Linked DNA regions of Bombyx mori. The main gene of each other region encodes a partner of the protein of the gene in region 2 in a complex. Links are inferred from orthologs where the notes say so. Each region holds a gene or a part of one and is shown on either strand. Other genes may lie near its edges.

Region 1 (3,955 bases), on a different chromosome or scaffold from region 2:
AAATTTTTGTATAAAAATATGTTCCATGAACAATGAATGCTCACATATTTATTTTGACTTTAACTATGTAACTTTTTTTTATTACTTAGATGGGTGGACGAGCTCACAGCCCACCTGAAGTTAAGTGGTAACTGGAGCCCATAGACATCTACAAGCAAATGCGCTACCCACCTTGTGATACGAGTTTTAAGGTCTCAGTATAGTTATAACGGCTGCCCTACCCTTCAGACCGAAACGCGTTACTGCTTCACAGCAGAAATAGGCAGGATGGTGGTGGTACCTACCAGCGCGGACTCATAAGAGGTCCTACCGCCAGTGATTACGCAAATTATAATTTTGCGGGTTTGATTTTTATTACACGATGTTATTCCTTCATGGTGGAAGTCAATCGTGAACATTTGTTAAGTACTAAAGTAATAGAGAATAAGTAATAAAGTAAGATTAAGTAACAAAGATTACTTATAATTTTAAATTAGATTGCCGTAGATATGTGTAATATTCTTTTTTTTTATTATTTAAATTAAATTTTATATTAATAATTCTAACCTTTCCTTGACACAACTTGAGCATTCCTGCCTGAAACATCATCTTTCATTTTCTTAAACATCTCCTCTTCTTTCTTTCTAAAGTCATCGTTTTCTTGCCTCAGCTGCTTGGCATCTTGTAATCCTGCTTTCTTTCCTTCCAAAGTCTTCTCCATTTTTTTATGGGTTGGAGGGGGACTGTCATTCTTGTTAGACCTATCTTTCCTAGGAGGAGAAAGATCAGAATCGCTATTATTTCTTTTTGAACTTCTGTCTTTTCTTTTACGTTCAGAGTCATGCCTTCTGTAGTTATCTATATTCTTAAGCTTTCGCGGTGGTGATAAATCCGAACCACTGTCTTTTGTGTCATTCCTCCTGTGAGGTTTTTTGCTTACATTCCTATAGGACTTGTTTTCTGCATATCTTATATTTTTACGGGGAGGAGATAAATCTGAATCACTATCATTCGTTTTTTTTCTTAGTGGAACATTTCTACAGGGAGATTCTGAGATTTGTCTCTTACTCTTTCTTGGGGGAGACATATCAGAATCTGAATTTGATCTGTTAGATCTTTTGTCATACCTCGAACCATAATCTGTATCATTATACTTTTTTAACTGGCTCTGTCTGTTATCGTGACCAAATTTAGATTTCTCTGGGGATTTTTTTCGCCTCGGAGGTGAAACTGAGTTAAGTCTATTTCGTTTTGAATCATCTTTTCTAGATTTTCTGGGAGATGTCACATCATATCTTTTTTGAATTTTCATATCTTGTCCTGAAGAAATCTTATTCATTTGGGTTTTCCTTAGAGGAGACAAATCAGAGCTCTTAGATCTTCTGTGGTTATTAGCTCTTAAAGACTTTGGTGACTTATCCTTCTCATTGTCCCAACGACTTGGTTTTTTAAGTTTTTCAGCTCTCTGACCCTCATGCTTTCTAGGTGGTGAAAGATCAGAATCATATTCAGTAGTTCTTTTAGGAGAATTATTCCTTTTCACTGGATTCCCTCTTCTTGGTGGGCTGAAGTCGCTGTCACTGTTGTGTTTTTTTTTGCTTTTAGCTCTTCCAGACGGCGAAGCTTCTGAAACATTTGGCTTATCATCTTCGGAATCACTGTACATTTTTCCAAAGACCAATTCGTTTTCTTTCTCGGTTTCCTTTACATCTTTCTTTATCTCTTCAATTTGTAGTTTGCTGTTGAATCCGTCATCCTGTAACGATTTTCGGTGTCTGTTATAATCGATGAATAAGATTTCTATTAGAATGGTTTTTTAATATGTTGAAGGCTTGACAGTAAAAATAAAGTAATAAACATGTGTACCTGATTCACGATCTTCCATTTAGAACTAGTGGTGAATTGTTCCTGTTTTTTTATATGCTCTGGTCTTTCATCGATGATACCTGCTACTTGCGGTGCGTCATCACCTTCATCATACACATCTAACTCGTCACCCTCAAGGGGTCGTAGCTTCGATAGGTCAATGTCATCGTCTATTATTTTGAACCTAAAATTAGATGAGAAAATACATTTTTTATATTCACTTTAGTGTTTCAACAGGTAAGGTTATTTGTCATCTGTATCTTTCACTAATGAAAGAATTTTTTTTTGTTCTTTATTTGGAACTGACGTTTGCGTCTTTGAAGGAAGATGAGCCGAGAGTGATGATATAGTTAATGTACTGTTCGAACCTTATTAGAACAACATGCTTAAGCAACCAAAAAATTCATCCATACTGAATGAAAATATTGACAGGAATAAGAAATTTGAAATTAATTCGCATTTGTTATGTATTTCATTATACAAATAATCAATACTTACTTAAAATACAATAACTTGTAAGGAGAATACGTGAAAATGTACATGATTTTTTTTTCAATTTTAAAATGCATTTTAGTGTGACGACAGCACTTTAATATAATGCCAAAATACAATTGTAAATATCAAAACGGTAGATATTTAAGGTATTTTTTTTAGAAATAGTAAATTCTTTCACGTTTAATTTCAATTATTGTTCACATTGTCTACAGTTGACTTACCCTTTTCCTTTTAGCACTTTTTTTTTCTTTTTCTTTTTATCGCCCGATGGACCAGCCAGGTATTTTTGCAAGTACGCTTTCTGGTTTACAGTCGTAGCCATTATTAAATAAAATTTCAAATTATTTAATTTAGAAAATTAATTTGACGAACTTTATATTATTATGTGTATTATCTATGGTATCAATTTAGACAAACACAAATGTCACAAATCAACATTCTTTCAAATGTTTCAAAGCCATAATACACTTTTTTTAAAGGGATTTTATGTCCTGGTAACTAAGACTTTTGGGTCATGTCTTATTTTATATTTAAATTCTTATTTTTATGAAAAATGATTTAGGGAGTCAAATGAAATAAAATGAAATGAAGATGATTAATTTGAGACATTAATCAACTGAGATGAAATGAAATAAATTGAGATAAGATAACATGGGATGAAATATAATCTCAGTAAAATGGTGGTTATTTACTGAGACTTCTTTAGTGGGCTTTTTGGAGGATCCCTAGAAGCTACGTCCAGCGGCTTTGTTTCATTTGTGCACTTTCACAGATATTAAACCATTAATAATAATAATAATAATAATAATAATGTTTTTATTTCAAGTATCCATGACTCATATAAATTGTTAATAAGACTTAGACCTATGTTAGTATTTATATTTACATCACAATGAATTACTGTGGTAACATCCCATGGGAGATGGCACCACAGCGACCCATGTATATACAGTCCAGCCTGCTTGCGATCATGCTCAGGATACTGTTGGAGCTGGCCCTCACTCTGTTTACCAGAGATGCACACCTTTTACGCATGGTAGCGTAAAAACAATCTATGTGCGCGTCTGCAAACATCCCTGATGCGCTACAAAAGCGGGGCAGCACCACCAGCACCCTAAACGCGTTATTGTATTGAACACGGAGAGCATTGTACGATCTTTGAGTATATCCAGCCCACAAGCTGCACGTGTAAAAGTTAGTACAGTAGGCCCTAAAGAGGGTGACCTTGACTTTAAGTGAACACCGTGCAAACCTGCGAGCTATCATGTTTGCTCTAACCGACAACGCTCTCCGCTCTCGTTCAATATCTTCATCATCTTTGAGATCAGGGGTCAACACATGGCCGAGATATTTAAATTTATAAACTCTTGTCAATGGCGTTCCGTTGAGTACTACGGGAGGTATTTTATCATGCGTCCCACCCCTGGTCTCAAAGACCATGATCTCCGACTTTTTACAGTTGTACACCAAACCGTGTGATTTGGCGTATCCCTCACACAAAGAAACAAGTTGCCTTAGGCCACAGATAGACGCGCTCAGCAGCACCATATCGTCTGCGTAGCTGATGTTGTTTACGCACACCCCGTCTATGAAACAACCAATCCTGGTCCTACTG
Region 2 (4,104 bases):
ATATTAAATTGACGTCACATCTTACAATGCTGGCAGTGCTTATCGGAGCATAGCTGTAGTGTGGCTGCTTATGGCGTTGTTCTTGAAATCTTTCCGCTTTTCTTTGTGGGTGACGCATTTACGTTGTAAATGTTTTTTTTTTATGATTGAAAGATTACTGGTGGCCCGGAGGCCTTTCCAGCTTCACCAGGACAGGTGGGCGAGCAAAGGCTCAGCCAGGAGGGGTGGGATTTGCTAACAGCTACCCGAGCGCCTCCGAAGGAGACCTAACAACTCGAGAGCAATTGCTTCGCGAATGAATCTACTACCGGATCGGAATCGCGACCCACTGAGAAGATCCGGTGAGAAACTCAGCGAGCTGATGCATGGGTTAGGTTGCACGTCGACCTCTTTGTCGAGTTCGACGAGTACGGTTACCGGGGTTCCTCAGCCTGCTCCTAGTGTTAGAGCTGAAGGTATCTAATGTAAGAGTTATTGGATCTGATGGATCCGTAAGGACATGTCTAGGGCGACGACGGTGACTTGCTCCTGCGTGATCAGGATTCGGGGAGTAATCAGCGGCGGCAACGATAAGGCGATTATCATGACGTGTCTATGGGCTCCGACGACACGAGAACCCTCTCAACGTGGCCGCCGATAACTACATTGCCGATCTTGCGGACCAAATGGTAAACATTCGACGTCACCCAAAATACGTCATCTCGGATCCTCCTGATCCACTAACGGTGCTTTTAGGTACCCCAAGCACCGGTCATCGTTCTCGTCAAGCCCCTCGCTTGCGACGAAGGACTGGGTGAATAAATTAACCCACAGACACAGCCCACTGAGTTTGTCGCCAGATCTTTTCGGTGGGTCGTGTTTCCGATCCGGTGGTAGATTCTGCGCAGCACTGCTCTTGCTAGGGTTCGTGTTAGCAACATCGTCAGGTTTGAGCAACGTGAGCTCACCTACTAGCCTGGTGACGCTGATATGATCTCTCTAGAACATCAGCTTAGGTAGGAAAAAAAAATCTTTGCTGCAAACATTAGGATTATCCATTAAATTAGCACCTAACAGCGCCGAGAGTGGATAATCTAAAAAAGTTAACTGAATTTGTCCAAATACATAAACACCATTTTACTGATATTATATTTCATCTCATATCATTTCGTTTCATTTAATGTCATCTCAAATCTCAATTGATTAATGTCGCAAAAACAACTTCATTTAAATTTTTTTAAACAATACTTTACTTTATTAGGCCGTATAGTATGATACCTTCACCTTTTCAGTTGGAAAACGGAGTTACTACTACTCTACTACTACTGACATGACAGTAAAATAAAAATGTCAAAACAAAATGGCTGTTTTATTAAGGTCAAGCTGGATTTTACTTAGTGCACGTTCTACTTTTTCATCGAAATAAATTTCATGATTTTACACATAATATTGAAAATGAATAGTTTTAATAATATTGAGTTCTAGATACAGTATTAAATTCTTTTATAAAAAGTTCAATTGTAGTCTAGTAGTGTCAAAACAAAAATCATAAGAATGGAGAAGACTAACACCAAGCAGAAGAAAGATAAATACGAGGAAGATGATGAAAGGCGTAGGTCGAAAAGGTCGAGACGGGCTAGATCTAGATCTAAGTCACTTGAGGAACAGCAGAATAGGGAGTATAGAAGTAAACGCCGGCGTTCCAAATCACGCTCACCTCATTACAAGGCTAGGGAAGATAAACGAGTTAAAGACACACAAAAAGAGCCAGAAACAAAAAAAGATGCCTCTACAAAGCCAGAAAGACGCGCAAAAGATACTGATATGTTGAATACTAGAACAGGAGGTGCATACATTCCACCAGCAAGACTGAGGATGATGCAAGCGCAGATCACGGATAAGTCCTCGATAGCTTACCAAAGACTTGCCTGGGAAGCTCTCAAAAAGTCAATTCACGGTCACATCAACAAAATTAATGTCGGTAACATAGGTATCATTATAAAGGAATTATTGAAAGAAAACATTGTCAGAGGTCGAGGTTTGTTATGCCGTTCTGTTATTCAAGCCCAGGCAGCCTCGCCAACATTCACTAATGTATACGCGGCTCTAGTATCAGCAGTCAATTCACGTTTTCCTAATATCGGGGAGTTGTTACTGAAAAGATTAGTGATTCAATTCAAAAGAGGTTTTAAACGCAATGATAAGTCAATTTGCATTTCCTCTGCATCTTTCATTGCACATTTAGTGAATCAGAGAGTGGCACATGAAATTCTGGCTTTAGAACTTCTCACTTTACTAGTTGAATCACCAACAGATGATTCAGTTGAAGTTGCCATAGCATTCTTAAAGGAATGTGGCCAAAAATTGACTGAAGTATCATCTAAAGGTGTAAATGCAATTTTCGAGATGCTAAGGAACATTTTGCACGAAGGTCAGTTAGACAAAAGAGTTCAGTACATGATAGAAGTAATGTTCCAAGTTTGGAAGGATGGGTTCAAAGACCACCCGGCACTGATTGAAGAGTTGGAGCTCGTGCCTGAAGAAGAACAGTTCACACATCTATTGATGCTGGATGACGCTACAGATCCTCAAGATATCCTGAGTATGTTATATTCTATTAAACTATCCATAAAAAAATAAGCCATAAAACACTTAAGTAGATTATCTGTACAGTCTGTCAATTGAATTATTTGTTCCCCTAAGTTATTTAATAGCTATTGAGGGTATGCACAAGAGTTATTGTAACACTTAAAATGCTAAAAGTTTTGAGTGTATATAACACTCTAAACGAGTAAAGTTTTAATTTTTAATAGGATTAATCAAAAATTTTTATATATAGTTTACATAAAAATGCTTTTAGCTTATTTAAAAATGTAACTTAAACAATCTCAATTTTTTTTCATATACTTTTTGCTTTAAGTTTTAAGATAGTAGTACTCTGTGTTAGTGAATTCAATATCCATTATTTTAGCCTATTTTTATTTTCCATCGTATGTATTAACTCATTTATGCCCAACATTATTGAATGTTATAAACAATTTATCTTAATGCTCCATTTAAAACAAATGTAAAATAAGCAAATTAGTATAAAAGAATAAAAATAACAATTTTCCCAAATGCTTCAGATGTTTTCAAATTTGATGAAAAGTATGAAGAGAATGAACAGAAGTACAAGAATCTTTGCAAGGAAATACTTGGTTCTGATGCTGAGTCCGGTGATGAAGATGGTTCAGGAGAAAGCGGTAGTGAGGAATCTGATGAAGAAGATGAAGAACAACCAAAAAAAGAAATGACTATTATTGATAACACAGAAACAAACTTAGTGGCTCTGAGACGCACTATATACCTGACAATCAACTCCAGTTTAGATTTCGAAGAATGTGCTCATAAACTAATGAAGATGCAACTGAAACCAGGACAAGAAGTGGAACTATGCCACATGTTCTTAGACTGCTGTGCTGAGCAGAGAACATATGAGAAATTCTATGGCTTATTGGCCCAAAGGTTTTGCAACATCAACAGAATATACATCGGACCTTTCGAGGAAATTTTCAAAGATTCATATTCAACAGCACACAGGTTGGACACGAATAGACTCAGAAATGTCAGCAAGTTTTTCGCCCATCTGCTGTTTACAGATTCCATTAGTTGGGAATCTTTGGAATGTGTTAAATTGAACGAAGAAGACACAACTAGTTCTAGTCGGATATACATAAAGATTCTGTTTCAAGAACTGGCTGAATACATGGGACTAAAGAAACTGAATGACCGTCTACAAGATCCGTTCGTATTACTTTGTTTTGATGTTTTTTTAGTTTTATAATAATAAATAAACCCTCAATTTCAAATGGAAATATGACAAATGACAGTGGAAACTCTTTGAAAGGATAGCTCAGGGCACAGACAAGCGATTATATATTGCTGAGAGCAATGACAGTTGTTATGAGAGGTTCACAATAATGAATGTTGATTTTAACTACAATTGCTACATTGCTATGCTCATGGGTGTGATTTAATACTAGCTTTACCCTTTCTTTTGAGTTAGGAGATGGTTTCGGAACCAGTGAACAAAGTTTACGGCTTACCAAAAACTATCTTTATGGTTTAATCTTGCGAACTTTATTA

What was found. Proteins that work in one complex are often made in the same cells at the same time.
Region 1: pre-mRNA-splicing factor CWC22 homolog (region 2) and BUD13 homolog share a complex: the UniProt entries of both Homo sapiens proteins name them as parts of the minor spliceosome. The link is inferred for Bombyx mori from reciprocal best matches to the Homo sapiens genes CWC22 and BUD13.

What each region holds. Positions count from the first base shown.
Region 1 is NC_085130.1:5,568,881-5,572,835, reverse strand, and holds the start of BUD13 homolog, read right to left. Parts: upstream 2,801-3,955; 5' UTR 2,663-2,800; coding exon 2,562-2,662; intron 2,030-2,561; coding exon 1,846-2,029; intron 1,736-1,845; coding exon 547-1,735; intron 1-546. UniProt on the Homo sapiens protein: Involved in pre-mRNA splicing as component of the activated spliceosome. As a component of the minor spliceosome, involved in the splicing of U12-type introns in pre-mRNAs.
Region 2 is NC_085110.1:1,337,975-1,342,078, reverse strand, and holds the start of pre-mRNA-splicing factor CWC22 homolog, read left to right. Parts: upstream 1-1,304; 5' UTR 1,305-1,533; coding exon 1,534-2,581; intron 2,582-3,104; coding exon 3,105-3,762; intron 3,763-4,104. UniProt on the Homo sapiens protein: Required for pre-mRNA splicing as component of the spliceosome. As a component of the minor spliceosome, involved in the splicing of U12-type introns in pre-mRNAs. Promotes exon-junction complex (EJC) assembly.